2 linked regions of the Elephas maximus indicus genome follow. The protein of the gene in region 1 purifies or fractionates together with the protein of each later gene. This does not show direct contact. Links are inferred from orthologs where the notes say so. Each region holds a gene or a part of one and is shown in the gene's direction. Other genes may lie near its edges.

Region 1 (8,215 bases):
TCTATTCTGGCACTGTTCAAGGCCACAGTCCACTGGCTTAGCCAGGAGCTGCCCCAGCTGAGGAGGGAGAAGTGCCTCCCCCATCAGGTGCTCAGAGCACCCTGGGAGCAGTTTGGGGTCTGGCCTGCGAGGGGCGACCCCCTAAGTCCCAAACTTACAGGGTTTAGCTGTTGCTTTCCCCACTCAATTCCCATGCTTTCAGTCACTAACTCCCAAAATGCAGATAATTGTGGAATTAGGGTAGCCAGGAGAAAAAAAAAAAAAGGTACACACAGCCAAAATGCTCACTCTATTAGCTAAGCAGGGGCTTCTGGGTTCCTGGGTTTGACCCTGTATCCTAAGGCTGTCTACTGACAAGAGCCTGTCATGAGTCAGGGTCTACCAATGGGAGGCTGAGTGGGTGAGTGTCTGGGAGACTTATGTTTGGGCTTTGAAGCCATCTAAAGTCTAACAGAGTTCCAGACAGCGCCCTCTGAGAACAGGTCCCATGCTGGGCCTGCAGGTCACACCCACCTCAGGGGCGTCTGGCTGAATTTAGCCAAGGCGACAAGAACAACCCCCACGCCCACTCTTAAAAAAAAAAAAAAAAAACTCAGGCCTGGCTAATTCTTAGTCATCCCTCAAGACTCATCTTAGATGGCTCTCTTTCTAGAGACCTGCCTTGCCCCCACTCTCACCCCAAAGCGTGACCTGGATGCCTGCCACCTGTGTTCCCAACTGCGTTTCACGTCTCACCACAGTCCTTACTCTGCTGCCCTTTCACTAGCCTGGATTCCCCACCTCACACACACGGACTATGAGGACAGGGACAGACATGTGTTCCCAGTTTCCCCAGAGCAGCACATGGTGGCCGATGAGCAGTTTTCCCTGAGGGCCCTTCAGGCAGCGGGTGGCTGGTGAGGGGCACGTAGCCTTCCCCCTCCCTGGTCTAGACTGCGGCGGCCAGGTAGTACTGAACAGCTCAGCCCAGGCTCTCCACCCGTGACCAGGAATTCCCTGAGGTTGCCGGCAGCCTAGCCCCTGACTTAAGCAGATTCCCCAAAGGTACTCTGGATCAGGGATCAGAGACTGACAGGGTCTCCCCTTTGAGGAATTTGAGGGTTGAGTTTCTGCAGTTAAAATCATTTCCGAGTCACATGCAGTTCCAGCTGTATCTGTCTGTCTCCCTCCCTTCCCTGCCTGCCATGGACAGACAGCAGCCAGCCGAGGTGGCACGGAAGCCCTGACCACAGCCCCTCCTGGGCTGCTAAACTACACCATGGCTGAGAAAGAGGAGATCCCTTGTCTCTAAATGGGGATTCAGATTCTAGTCAAAGGAAGCTAGCGTGCGGGCGGGGAGTACCCTAGAGGTCTCAGGAGATCCACCCCCACTGCCACCCCCAGTTTAGCTGATGATGGAGGAAAACCGGTCTTCTGCAGGTGCTTTCATTTTAGCCTTTGGATTCCATGCTTATCCATTCCCTTCCTACATAAGCATCTACTGAGCACCTTTTATGTGCCTGGTAGTCCACAAAGAGTTTAGCACTAGACTAGTCACCCAAAGTTTGGTGGTTCGAATACACTCAGAGCAGAAGATAGACCTGGTGATCTGCTTCCAAAAGGTCACAGCCTTGAAAACCCTATGAAGCAGTTCTACTTTGCACACGTGGGCTCACCATGAGTCAGAATCAAATTCAACAGCAATTAACAACAATAACAAAGTGCGCAAGGTGTTGAGAACAGCTGGGGTCAAGATTAAACCTGAAAGGGAATCTTAGGTTCATCTGCATAATTCTTTCATCTTACTTATAAAGACATGTTGACTTTATCTGGCTAATTGCCATTTATCCTTCAGGTCTCAGCTCAAAAGACCCTGCCCAGGAAGATGTCCCTGACCAACCTCTTTCCGTTATACTCTCACACACTCCAAGGGCACTCCTGCTCTTGCTCCAGCATGGACACCTCTCCCTCTATATAGACTGTGCTTGTTTGTTTCTCGAGAGGCTGAGTGTTCTCTGAGGGCAGACACCCTGTCCACCTTGTCACCATTATAGCCCCAGGCCCAGAACTGGTGGGCACCAGTATTTGTAAAATGAATGAAGTGATTGTCAGAAGGCCACAGAATGGGTTAGTTTCAGAGTCAGGATTAGAACTCAAGGTTTCCCAACACTCAGTCCTGTTCTTGCTCATATGTCACCCATAGTTCGTCCTGAGAGTCCCAGTCCCTCTGGATGGCCCCAGTTAGCTGGGTCAGAAATATACACGGATCTTGAGTGGAAAAGTAAACAGCAGGTCAGGGAAGCTATCTCTTGGGCCTCATTTTACTTTCACAGTTAACCCAGAGAAAGAGAGAAGGCTGGTAGAGGGAAGAGTTAGACGGGCTACCACCTCCTGTGGCCCTCTGGATTTGAGAGGGCGATGGGGTGGCCGTTCCTGCATAAGGTGGGTCCTCTATGGCCACAAAACCATTCTCCATTCCTGACTCACGCTAGAAAGGACAGTAGAAGTAGGAATGTGGGCTGACACTGAATGCAAAATTCAGCCACTGAGCATTTAGTCCTTCTTGACCTTCAACTTGCCCTGATAGACAGCTGGAGACACCACCCTCTTGGGGGGTGGGGTTGGATAAGGGCTTCCCCCAGCACAGCTGGGACCCAGTCAGTGCTCTGAGTCACTTGCAGGAAGGGTATCCCTCAGGGAAAGGGATCAAGGCTAGCTGCCCTCCACTTCTCCCCACAGACCAGGCTCTGAATTCCAGCTCTACCACTTTCTTGCCAGTTGTGGGACCTTGGGCAGAGCTGTACCCACCTCAGAGGATTAGGTTGTTAGGAGGACTGAAGGGGAGATATTCCTTTCACCCATCTTGCCCCACATTTAAAGGGAAGACAGAAGCCTGTGGACGCTCTCATTTTACTCCTAGATGAGCTCTCGGAATGGGGATTCTGGACCCAGGCCTCAGAAACCAAGCCAAACTGATGTAAAAAAACATAACAGCAAATGTTGGTGAGGACGTATGGAGATTGGAACCCTTATCAATTGCTGGTGAGACTGTAAAATGGTACAATCACTATGGAAAATGGTGCACCACCACCTCAAAAAACTAGAAATAGGGCTACCTTATGATCCAGCAATCCCGCTCCTAGGGATATACCCTAGAGACGTAAAAGTAGTGACATGAACAGACATATGCACCCCTATGTTCGTTGCTTCATCACAATAGCAAAAAAAAAATGGGAACAACCTAAGTGCCTATCAGCAGAAGAATGGATAAGCAAATTGTGGTACATATATACGATGGAATACTACACAACTGTAAAGAACAATGATGCGTCCATGAAACACATTATAACATGGATGGATCTGGAGGGCATAATGCTGAGTGAAAGAAGTCAACCACACAAGGCCAAATATTATGTGATTCCTCTTTTATAAGAAGACAGAACAGATAAATTTAGAGAGGCCAGTATTCATTGGTGGTTACCAGGGAGAGGACAGGGATAGGGAAAGTACACTTTACCCCACAGGACTAGTTACTTCTGGTGATAGGAAAAGCAGCACTGAACGTGGGTGTTTTTACCAAAGTAAAAATAAGTGTTTGAGCACATACGAATGGGTATAGACACAATTAAGGGGAATGTGGACAAACTGTGATAAATGTAACTAATGTCAATGAACAATTTGTGTGGTAATTGTCAAATGGGAACCTAACTTGCTGTGTAAACTTTCACCAAAAAGTTGGTTTAAAATAATAAAAAAAAAAAAGGTCAATGGGATAGAAAATGATACTGGTTAAGAATGAGCTTCTTGGATCAAGTAGATGCACAAGACTATGTTGGCACCTCCTGTCTGGAGGGGAAATGAGAGGGCAGAGGGGGTCAGAAGCTGGTCGAATGGACAGGAAAAAAGAGAGTGGAGGGAAGGAGTGTGCTGTCTCATTGGGGGAGAGCAGTTAGGAGGATATAGCAAGGTGTTTGTAAGTTTTTGTATGAGAGACTGACTTGAGTTGTAAACTTTCACTGAAAGCACAATTTAAAAAAAACCAAAAAACAAGCCAGACTGGATGACCTAACACCAGTCCTTCCGGCTCCAGAATCGCGGAGACGAAAACCTTTGATGAAGAGGCAAGAACTTCCCCGATGGTATTCTGGGACCCAGTTATAATTCATCTCACTGAAGACAGGTCAACCCAGAACCCAGAATCGACGGCTCTCCCACTTGACTGGAGTTTGTCCCCACCCCCACCCCCACCCCATCACTCTCCCCTTTCTCCTTTGTGCACTTTCTTCTTTAAAGGAAAAATAGATTCCCTTTCTCCTTTATGGACTTAGAGAACGGTCGAGCGACTTTAAAGATTTTTGGCTTGGGAAAGCAAATGACTCGGGATGGAGAAACACTTTGGTGGCCTCTACTGCCATCAGATTGCCTGTTGCCTACCGAGAACACAATGGAACGGCAATAGGTGACTAGAACCAGGACTGAGCGCCCCCCAGAGGCAAGAGCAGTTCTAAATCAAATCAGATCCATCGCCTTTGAGTGGATTCCGACTCAAAGCGACTCTACAGGACAGAGTAGAACTGCCCCATAGGGTTTCCAAGGCTGTAAATCTTTAAGGAAACAGACTGCCACATCTTTCTCCAGCCAAGAGGCTGGTGCCTTGGAACCGCCGACCCTTCGGTTAGCAGCCCAGCGCTTTAACCGCTGCATCACCAGGGCTCCTCAGAGCAGTTCTAAGGGCCCTCAGAGTAAGGCTTCGGCCCTGAGCTGTACCAGCGCGCCCAGCAGCCTCCTCTCGCGTCCCGTTCTCCCCTTTCTCGTCGCTCCAAGAACCCCTAGGACCCGTGTGGGCGGGGCTCTGTTGACACCTCTCCCCGGCGCGCCGGGGGGGGCGGGGCCGAGGCCGGCGCGGGCCAGTGCGGGAGGCCCGGGTCGCGCTCCGCCGGCGAGCAGGCCAATGGGCGCCGGGGGGCGTGGCCAGGGCCGCCGGAGCCTTTATAAGCGGTTGGAGCGCGGCGCCTTTCAGCCCCGTCCGGAGCGACGGCGAGCTACTGGCCCGGCCTCGGGCTCCGCGTCCCGGCCTGTAGCCGTCCCCGCTCGGCCGCCTCCCCCGCCGCCCTCGCTGGCCTCCTGCTCGCCATGGAGTCCGTGGCTTTCCCCCGGCGCCCCGGGCCGGCTCCCTCGGCCGCAGAGCTCGCCCGGCCCCTGGCCCACGGGCTCGTCAAGTCGCCCAAGCCGCTGATGAGGAAGCAGGCGGTGAAGCGGCACCACCACAAGCACAACCTGCGGCACCGCTACGAGTTCCTGGAGACCCTGGGCAGGGGCACCTACGGGAAGGTGAAGAAGGCGCGGGAGAGCTCGGGGCGCTCGGTGAGTGCCCCTCCCTCGCGCGGCGCGCCGCGGGTTCGGGACTCCGCCGCGGGCCGGGAGCGGAGAAGGGAGGCTGGGGGCTCGGGCGGCGCTCGGGCAGTTGCCGGCGTTCAGCCTTGACCACGCCGGCCGGGGCCGGGGGCCGGGGGCCGGGGGCCGGGGGCCGGGGGCCGGGGGCCGGGGCCGGGGGCGGGGGCCGGGGCCGGGGGCGGGGGGGCCGGGGGCCGGGGGCCGGGGGCCGGGGCCGGGGGCCGGGGGCCGGGGCCGGGGGCCGGGGCCGGGGGCCGGGGCCGGGGCCGGGGGGCCGGGGGCCGGGGGGCCGGGGGCCGGGGGCCGGGGCCGGGGGCCGGGGCCGGGGCCGGGGCCGGGGGGCCGGGGGCCGGGGGCCGGGGGCCGGGGGCCGGGGCCGGGGGCCGGGGCCGGGGGCCGGGGCCGGGGGCCGGGGCCGGGGCCGGGGCCGGGGGCCGGGGGCCGGGGCCGGGGCCGGGGCCGGGGCCGGGGGCCGGGGGCCGGGGGCCGCGGGCCGCGGGCCGCGGGCCGCGGGCCGCGGGCCGCTGCACAGGGGTGGACCTAGGAGGCCAGCAGCCTTGGACCCGAGAAACCCACCACCACCAGGCAGCGTCGATGACAGCCGAACCGGCGAGGCCGACGGCTGGTGCGGGCGTAGAAGAGGGCTGGTGTCCTGGTTTGGGACGGAGAAGGCTTCCTGGGGAAGAGGTGACTTAAACTGAATGTTGCTTGGAACAGACTATCCAGTACAGAAAGAGGAAGTAGACGGCGCCTGACTTCAGTAAGGGTTTAATAAATACGTGTGTGGTTGAATAAATGAGTGAGGAATCCAACTCAGTTCTAAGAGCTTGCTGTGGAGATCTGCACGGGGTGGGTCTGCAGTGGAGCTGACACTTAGGTCCTTTCCAGCTCGAAGATCGAGGGAAGTTTCATGATGATGGGTTTTTATTCTGTTAAATGTGAAACCAGCCTCTGGTGCAAGGTCTGCTGTGTCCCATGATACCCTGGGTTTGGGGCCTTTTTGGAAACTTGTCCTATTATTTTGGTGTGGGAGGTGTTCGTGTGCGTGAGAGAGATAGTATATATATTATATACGTTATAACGTGACCTTTAGCATTTCACTTCCTCACTGTACTTCTCAGTTTCTTTCCCTTTCTACAAACATGGGGAAAACAGTCTCCCTCACAAGCTGCTTTGAGAATTGAACGAGATAAAAAGGTGAACTAAAGTGTTTGTGACCCAGAGAACCGGAGAAGTGAGACTTAAATCTGAATCTGGAAGGGCCAGCCCTGAAAGGTTGGTTAGCAGGGGCTCTCAAACTTAAGTGCATGGGAATCACCTAGCGATGCTTGTTTAAAATGTATGCTTTCTGGTCCCACATCCAGAGGATTTTATTCTGAAGGTCTAGCACAGGGCAGATATAATCTGAATTTTAACATTTAACATTTTAACCAGGGGGTCTAGGGGTTATAGTTCACCAAACCCAGTCCAGTTCTGGTTGTGAGGCGTGTGTGTGGCCATGGTTTGCCTTATTGGTTATGGCAGCGGTCGCCTCCCCAGATTGTGTTTGCTTTTGCAGCCGGTAGCTGGTTTGAAATTCAAGAAGTCATTTCATTGGTGAAGGAGAGTGGGTGTTGGAGAAAGGGAGTGGGTTGTGGCCCTATCAATAGGATCGAGTATGTTTTTCCTGCTAAGGCCTGGCACAGTCCCCAGCTGCCCGCTGCCAGGTTACAGCTATTGGGCAATCGTGTACTTCCTGGCATTTCTCTTTCTGTAAAGTGCAAGGACCGATGAGGCTCCAGGCATGAGACTGCTGGGCCCAGGCTGGGTTAGGGCTTAGCGGTAAAGTAGCTGCTTATGCCTTGTCCCTCCTTCCTCTTGTTGGGGGGAAGACTGAGTCGTGCAGACTGGGGTGGCCCAGAAACTGGGATTGGAGTTGTTGCACATGCCTGTGTGTGTGTATGTGGGTAGAGAAAAAGAGAGAGAGAGGTCTCATTTGATCCCAGAGTGAGATAAACCAGCTTTCAGTTTTCAAACCTCGGTGGCTCTAGGCAGGGATTCCAGCTTTTATTACATCAGAAAAGAGAGAATTAGAATTCAGAGGGTGCTCCCTGGGCTCTTGTCTCTAGCGTGCAGGGAGCCAAGGTCAGTCTAGCAGGCCCTGCTCTGAACCTCCCTGACCCATCAGTCCACCACCTGGTGGGAACTTGCTCAGGGTCTCCCTCCTTGTTGGACAGCAGCCGCCCTGCTGTGCCAGTGGTTTCTCTGCTGGAGAGCAATCCTGTTCTCCACCCCCATCCTGCCTCTGGACCCTCCCTGAAGAGAGAGACCTGGTGTCTCAGGACACTTCAGGAGTGTGGAGTTAGGCTCACAAGAGCAGTCCAGGACCTCTCCCAAAATGGGCTGAGACTGTTGGTGGAGGTTAGATTCAGAGGAAAGCCTGCTGAGCGACTCCCATCCCAATTTTCTGTCTACTTTCCTAACTCACATCCCATTCCCAACCTGCCTAGATGGGATCATCAGGGGCCAGATGGGATTGTTCAGAGGGAGGGGCAAGCAGGTGGGAGGGACTAATGCTGCTCCAGAAGGGCATCAAAGGAAAAACAAATATTTGCTCTGGATCTTCTGGTTGCCTGAGTACATTCCTGGCATCCAAATAACATTTCCTTCTGTGGCTCTCGCCTGCTTCTCTGACCTCCCCTTTCCCCCAAAGAGAAAAAACATACTGGGGCCCCTGGAATGGTGGAGTCCCCCAAGCCTTTGGGATGATATGCGTGGAATTCTTACCTTCCAAATGGGTACCATGAGGGAGGCCACGTGAGCAGCAGCTCTGGGGTAGGGGTGCTTTCTTTCTTATATATTG
Region 2 (7,871 bases), on another chromosome or scaffold:
TAATGTCCTTTTGCTTTCTTTATGTGTGATGTCCTTAATGTCTTTCTACAACTCCTCTGGTCTTCAGTCATCAGTGAGCAATGCATCAAATCTATTCTTGAAACGGTCTCCAAATTCAGGTGGTATATATATATACTCAAGGCCATATTTTGGCTCTCATGGACTTGCTTTAATTTTTTCAGCTTCAACTTGAACTTGCATATGAGCAATTCATAATCTGTTCCACAGTCTGCCCCTGGCCTTATTCTAACTGATGATATTGAGCTTTTCCATCATTTCTTTCCACAGATGTAGTCAATTTGATTCCTGTGTTTTCCATCTGGTGAGGTCCATATGTATAGTTGCCGTTTACATTGTTGAAAAAAGGTATTTGCAGTGGTCTTGCAAAATTTCATCATGGGATCTCTGATGTCATTTCTATCACCAAGGCCACATTGTCCAACTACCCATCCTTATTCTTCGTTTCCAACTTTTGCATTCCAATCGCCAGTAATTATCAATGCATTTTTATTGCATCTTTGATCAATTTCAGACTGCAGAAATTGGTAAAAATCTTTAATTTCCTCATCTTTGGCATTAATGGTTGGTGCATAAATTTGAATAATAGTCATATTAAGTGGCCTTCCTTGTAGGCATAGGGATATTATCCCATCACTGATAATGTTGTACTTCAGTATAGATCCTGAAATATTCTTTTTGATGGTGAACGTGACACCATTCCTCTTCTACTTCTCATTCCAGGCATATAGACCATACGATTGTCTTATTCAAAATGGCCAGTACCAGTCTATTTCAGCTCACTAATGCCTAAGATATTGATCTTTATGCTTCTATTTCATTTTTGACAATTTCCAATATTCCTAGGTTCATACATCATACATTGCACATTCTGATTATTAATCAATGTTTGTAGCTGTTTCTTTTCATTTTGATTTGTGCCACATCAGCCAATGAAGGTTCTGAAAGCTTGACTCCCTCCACGTCATTAAGGTCGACTTTACTTTGGCAAGTGTGCTCTTCCCCAGTTGTATTTTGAGTGCCTTCTAACTTGAGGGGCTCATCTTCTACCACTATATCAGACAAGGTTCCACTGCTATTCATAAGGTTTTTACTGGTCAACTTTTTCAGAAGTAAACTGAGAGGTCTTTCTTCCAGTATGTCTTAGTCTAGAAGCTCTGCTGAAACCTATTCAGCAAGGGTGACCCTACTGATATTTGAAATACCAGTGGTAAAGTTCCTTGTATCGCAGCAACACGTAAGCCACCACGGTATGACAAACTGCAGACGTGTGGTGGACTTAACCATTAATATTTTATTTATATACTAATTCTTATTTTAGTTTATTTATTAATTTTATATTCAGAAGTAAATGCTTGCTTCAATAATAGCAAACTTCCTACGAAACTCCTCTTGCCCAAATGAAGACTGGAGTTACTGATCTGTATTCCAGAGCACTTTTATGAGCTACCAAATAGGCCACGTAACATTCTTGGAAAACACTAAGGATAAGCTGCCAGTTTTTCTAGGTAGACAGAAAAGCTAACAAGGCTATCCTCAAATTCCTTTCTTTCACTGTAAGAGCTGTATTCTGGAGTTTTTTAAGTGAATAGGTCTTTTGAATTTTAGTGCTAATTTGGAGTTTCTCAGCTCCTTACTCCATCATTATTCCAAGATGTGGTATTATCATTGGTGTATTTTACGCTTCTTACCCTCACCTTCTATTCCTACAGTATTTTCAGGATCCCTAACCTGGGATCATAACAAATTATGGATAACATTCTGAAGAATGGTAATTCCAGAACACTTAATCGTGCCTATGTGAAACCTGTACATAGACCGAGAGGCAGTCCTTTGAACAGAACAAGGGATAATACATGTTCTAAAATCAAGAAAGGTGTAGGTTAGGGTTGTATCCTTTTACCATACTTACTCAATGTGTACACTGAGCAAATAATCTGAGAAGCTTGGAGGAAGATTGGAGGAAGACTCATTAACAATGTGCAATATGCAGATGGCACAACCTTGCTTGCTGAAAATGAAGAGGACGTGAAGCACTAACTGATGAAGATCAAAGAACACAGCCTTCAGTAAGGATTACACCTCAACATGAAGAAAACAATAATCCTCACAGCTGCACTAATGAGCAACATCATGATAAATGGAGAAAATATTGAAGTTGTTAAGGGCTTCATTTTACTTTGATCCACAATCAATGCACATGAAAGCAGCAGTCACAAAATCAAGTGACGTATTGCATTGGGCAAATCTGCCGCAGAAGACCTCTAAAGATGTCCTTTGATGACTAAGGTGTGCCTGACCCAAGCCAGGGTATTTTTAATCACTTTATATGCCTGTGAAAGCTGGACAATGAATAAGGAAGACTGAAGAAGATTTGATGCTTTTGAATTACAGTGTTGGTGAAAAATATTGAATATATCATGGACTGCCAGGAGAACAAACGCATCTGTCTTGGAAAGAGTAAGGCCAGGATGCTCCTCAGAAGCAACGATGGCAAGACTTTGTCTCAAATACTTTGGACATGTTCTCAGGAGGGACCAGTCCCTGGAGAAGGACATGATGCTTGGTAGAGGGTCAGCAAAAAAGAGGGAGACCTTAATGAGATGGATTGACACAGTGACTGCAGTAATGGGCTCAAAGATAGCAATGACTGTGAGGACTGTAGGACTGAGCAGTGTTTCCTTCTGTTGTACATAAGGGTTGCTAAGATTGGGAACTGCCTCTGATGGCACCTGCCAATAACAACAACCTGGGCTAGAGGAGTCCTGGTGGTGCAGTGGTTAAGCACTTGGCTGCTGCTAAATGACAGATCAGAGGCGACTCACCAGCCTCCTCCGTGGGACAAAGATTTGGCAGTCAGCTTCTGGAAAAATTCACAGCCTTGGAAACCCTATGCGGCAGTTCTACTTGCTATGAGTTGAAATTGGACTGGACAGCAATGCGTTTGGTTTCCATTTTGAACCTGGGAGCCCTGGTTGTGCAGGGGTTAAGAGCTTGCCTGCTAACCAGAAGGTCGGCATTTCCAATCTACCAGCTGCTCCTTGGAAACTCTGTAGGGCAGTTCTACTCTGTCCCACAGGGTCACTGTGAGTCTGAATCGACTTGACAGCAACCGATTTGGTTTATTTTGGTTATATTTCTATGCTGGGACTTGTGGTTCAGGAAATTCAGTCTTATAGGTAGATTGTTTCCTAATCGGATTTTGGTCTATTTTAGTTTCCAATATGATAGCTACAATGTAGTCTACCGGAAAGGGTATCATGCTGAGAGTAAACAACGCTAAATTGTTCACTGCTGTATCCCCAGCATCTAGAACAATGCCTGACCCAGAACAGGTGCATAATATTTGTTGAATAAATCCTAATCCTGCTTTTGGGTGAAATTAAACATCAGTTAGTTCTTTGGCAACTCAGTCAAGACAATCCCTAAATTTCCCTTCGATGGTAGTATTTTATGACTTCTCTTATTTTACTTGTAAACGCTCTAAAAAAAACCAGTTGCATGAAAACAATGGGGTGTTTAGAAAAACATCAGTTGGTGGCGGTAGCAAATAGATGAGCTTATATTAGTATTTGTTACGTATCTCCTTTTTGAGTATGAGTAGTCAAACAAGGCAAATTTAGTGTTTCATTATGATTTTTTTTTTTTTTTGATGGCCTCAAGAGGTGGTTCAAATAAGCATGTCGTTCTCTTCACTGTTAATACGTGCAGTGTCTAGAACCATGACTGGCTTATAGGTATTCAATAAATATTAGAAGGGTGGTGAGACTTGTCTCACATACTTTGTACATGTTATCAGGAGCGACCAGTCCCCTGGAGAAGGACATCACGCTTGCTAAGGTAGAGGGTCAGTGAAAAAGAGGAAGACACTCAAGAAGATGGATTGATATAATGGCTGTAACAATGGGCTCAAGCATAATGACTGTGAGAATGGAGCAGGACCAGCCAGTGTTTCGTACATAGGGTCGCTGTGAGTCGGAACTGACTCTTTGGCACCTAAAAAAAATACTGGTTGAAATGGTTGCTATTATTTACATTTCTTTTGAACCCCATAAGTAGATACGTCTTTAGAAAAAGAGGGAGCAGGAAGCAGAAATCCCTTAAAAGGTCAGGACCAGTAACAAGGCCGAACTGAGCTCAAGAGGAATACTGGGCAGCTTAAAGCACTGAGAGAAAAGAGGACCCAAAATAAGCGTAAGGAGGTTAAAAACAAAAAGCCAGGCAGGAGAGGAAAGACGTTTGGCCGGACGTTTGGGTGTTGGCAGGAAGCCACTGCAATGACCGCAGGCCAACCCTGGGCACTAGGCGGTCATCTCCGGCTGCGATCTGGGGAAACTACGTCCAAAGTCCTTGGCTACACAGATCCAACTTTAAAAAGGTTCTGTTCAGTTGTCAGACGCCCAATTCTTCCAGAGTTCCTTGGAAAGAGAAACCACATGCACCTAACACAAGAACTATCCCCCATTCCATTCAAATAACGCAGGCCAATAGGAAAATCTTCCGTGCTGAGCAAACGACTCCGCAGAGCCAAGACAGCCTCGGAGGCAGGTCTGCCCCGCAATGCTGTGCAGGCCAACTGTTGGCCTTCGGGACCCTGGGAGCCTTTAGTGGGGCAGGGAAACCTTCCTTTCCTCCTTCTTCCCTCTCAGGTTGGTCCCAGCCCCCGCGGCCCGAGCCACACCCGCTTCCCTCCGGTGGCCGGGCCGCCCCCGTCGCAGTTCGCGGGAGCTTTCTTCCTGGGGCGGGCACAGACCCAGGGCGCATGCGCACGGGCCGAAGGGCGCCTCCCTGCCCGGATCTCGCGAAGTTACGTTACAGTGGCCGCCGGTGACGGGTGGCCAGGCCGGGGGCGGGAGGGCTTCTGTGGTAGGAAGGGAGGTCCGCTCGCCCGGGCGCGCCGCCCCAGTGCTCTGTGGGATACTGGAAGTCTCGAGCGTTTCCTCCCGGTTCCCAGCCCTCCTCTGGCCAGCCCTCATAGAAACAGTCACACACCCCCTGCCTCCCCTCTCTTCCCTCTCCGCCTCCCCCTTCCCCCCTCGCGATAAGAAGACCCGGCGGCAGGAGAGGGGATGAAGATGGCGGACGCGAAGCAGAAGCGGAACGAGCAGCTGAAGCGCTGGATCGGCTCCGAGACGGACCTCGAGCCTCCTGTGGTGAAGCGTCAGAAGACCAAGGTGAAGTTCGACGATGGCGCCGTCTTCCTGGCTGCTTGCTCAAGCGGCGACACGGACGAGGTCCTCAAGCTGCTGCACCGCGGCGCCGACATCAATTACGCCAATGTGGACGGACTTACCGCTCTGCACCAGGTCTGTGCACCCCGCCGCGCGCTCTCCTGACCCTGAGGGTTTCCGCCGTTCTTTAGTCAGGGCCTCTCCTCCGCTCTGGGCCTCCTGAGGCTGGGGGCGGCGGGAGAGACTCCCTGCTGTGGGGTGAGGGGGCGGTTTCCCGCGAGGGAGGGAGGGAAAGAACTGGTGGAGGGAGGGCGCAGGGCTTGAGGCCCCCTTCAGAGCAGTTGGTATTAAAGTTGGGAATCGGCTGGTTGACGGGGCACAGGGGAAAAGGGACTGTGGTCTGCTTGGGGCCCTAAGGCCGTTTGTAGTCGTGTGTCTGGGATTTGGGGTCGAGACGAGAAGGGGTGTAATGGGTTGTGTCTGGGCCCCGCTGTCAGGGATTTATTTGGGGGACGGGGATGCTGAAGAGAACTACTTACAAGGAACATTAGGGACTCTCGGGCAGATGGACATCTTTGGCTTGTAGGTGGGCATTGGATTTGTTGTACTTTTTAGGACTTGATTACAAATGATGGTAATAATAGTAATCAAGAGCTCTAAGCCGAGTGCCCTGAGCGAACGATTTCCTGTTTTCTCTTTTATTACTCTTGGTTACTGGGGAGGAGAAAACGGGGTGTAATTAGCTGATCTGCACCGGCTGAAAGGGAGGGAATGGAAGTGAGCGTTCAAAAGTGCTTGTCCATCTCCAGACCGGAACGCTTATCTGAGGTCCAGTACTCGGTGTGAGTTTGCTGCAGTGTCACAGATCCTGGAGCCCCAGGTCCTGGGCTGTGCACTGGAGTTAGAAAGAGAAGAATAAACATGGGGCATTCTTTTCAAAGCCGGTTACCAAGATCTGGTTTTTCTTTTGGGAGTGGGAAAAAGGAAAACTGGTCACAAACTTTCCGCAAAATGGATGCTTTGTGCATGTTAAAGTTTTATAGTGGTCTGATTGGGATCTCTCAATGTTAGCCAAATAAGGAGAAACTATTGGCAATCCAGAGATAATGTTGCTTTGCCTTTAACAGGCCAAAAGCAACACGACCACGTAGAGTTCTGCATAAAAAGCAATTTTTAAATGATGGTAGTAGGTAACAAGACATAGCCTCTTAGAATTTTCCTAGTTGGCAACTTGTAATTACTAGAAAACGACTTAACAGCAATAGCTTCCTCTGACAATGAAGAGATTTGTGAAATCTTTCAAAGTTGCTTGGCTGTAAAGGGAAGATTGCAGCTTTATTTTGAGTAATACTGTAGCAAAAACTTGTTTGGGAGGTTGAAACTTAAAGGCTTTATATTTCATGCATATTAGCTTGCTGTCTTTTGAAAAGAGAGGTGTGTGGTAGCATTTTTCCTTTTACTGCTTCCTGTTGAAGTGAATGATGACTATTTTAAGTTTTATTTAGTTGAATTCTCATATCATAGTTGGCTTATAGCCTTTGTTTACAGAGTTGACTGGATGAATTGAAATGATGGATAAATTAACAGGAAAATCTTGACATCAGAATGTGGTACCCAGTAAGGATATAGCTTGGTCTTTAGCTTTTTCTCAGTTCCATTAATTTAGATTCTTTAAGGTATAGCAAACTTTCTTTAGCCTTGCTTGATTTTAAGGCACAGCATAACTCTAGATTTTAAAAACATGACATTTGAAAATGAAAGAAACTTGTGGCATTCAAATGATATTGTAATTATGTAAGATGAATCTTTTCAAATTTGTTTCAAGTGTAATTTTAAAAGATAAAGCTGTTATTTTATCCCTGAGGTCAGCGTGATTGGATAATTTCTTACATTAGTATGTCTTATTAAAATTGTCAAATAGAAATTTAAACTTCCTATTATTGTTGTAGAGACACCCAAATATATTGGCTTGAAGGAGGATGAGAATCTTTTATACATTAATCTAATACTGGTTTAGGTACTGAAAGAGAAAGCGCACTTAACAGGCTTTTCAGATTCTCTTGTTCCCCCCCCCCATTTGTACAATGTTGCAACAATTACCACACTAATTTCTTCCTGACTAATGAATTCAGTGGTTAGTTTGGCATTATATAGGTGGAGTATTATTGAGTATTTGTTTTAGTTGACAAGTACTTAAGTAGAAGTTTCCAAGTTTATACATAAACCATTTGCATAGTATCTTTTTGTAATTTATCTGCACATTCCTTAAGTCAGTGAAGCAAAAGTCTTTAAAATATGAAGCATTAAAATTTTTATTGCGTTCTCTCCACTTGGTATTTCTCATTTATCAACTCTTCTTATACTTTTTTTTTTGCATTGTGGCTGTGAGAACAAGGAGTTCACTTTGGGCAAATTCAGGACAGCAGATAATGAAAGGTGATAAATATAACTTTTTTAAAAAGAACCACACACACACACACACAAAACTAAGCTTTTAAGAAACCTCCTGAATGCTACTTGTTTTAATAACTTAAATTATAAACCTAAAAGGATCCATTGTTTTTTTTTTTTTTAGTAGACCTTGAATAATTTAACTTCTCAAAAGATCTAAGATACCTAAGATATTTTTACGAGATTAATTATTAGTTATTCATTTGGAATATTCATTTACTTTTTTGTTTT

Evidence for each region.
Region 2: the proteins of NUAK2 (region 1) and PPP1R12A purify together in Homo sapiens (affinity purification with mass spectrometry; 3 studies listed by BioGRID and IntAct, counting the BioPlex papers as one, with this or other methods). This does not show direct contact. The link is inferred for Elephas maximus indicus from reciprocal best matches to the Homo sapiens genes NUAK2 and PPP1R12A.

What each region holds. Positions count from the first base shown.
Region 1 is NC_064836.1:14,801,867-14,810,081, reverse strand, and holds the start of NUAK2 (NUAK family SNF1-like kinase 2), read left to right. Parts: upstream 1-5,011; 5' UTR 5,012-5,112; coding exon 5,113-5,343; intron 5,344-5,958; exon of another isoform or gene 5,959-6,133; intron 6,134-8,215. UniProt on the Homo sapiens protein: Stress-activated kinase involved in tolerance to glucose starvation. Induces cell-cell detachment by increasing F-actin conversion to G-actin. Expression is induced by CD95 or TNF-alpha, via NF-kappa-B.
Region 2 is NC_064822.1:142,343,987-142,351,857, reverse strand, and holds the start of PPP1R12A (protein phosphatase 1 regulatory subunit 12A), read left to right. Parts: upstream 1-4,858; 5' UTR 4,859-5,087; coding exon 5,088-5,324; intron 5,325-7,871. UniProt on the Homo sapiens protein: Key regulator of protein phosphatase 1C (PPP1C). Mediates binding to myosin. As part of the PPP1C complex, involved in dephosphorylation of PLK1. Capable of inhibiting HIF1AN-dependent suppression of HIF1A activity.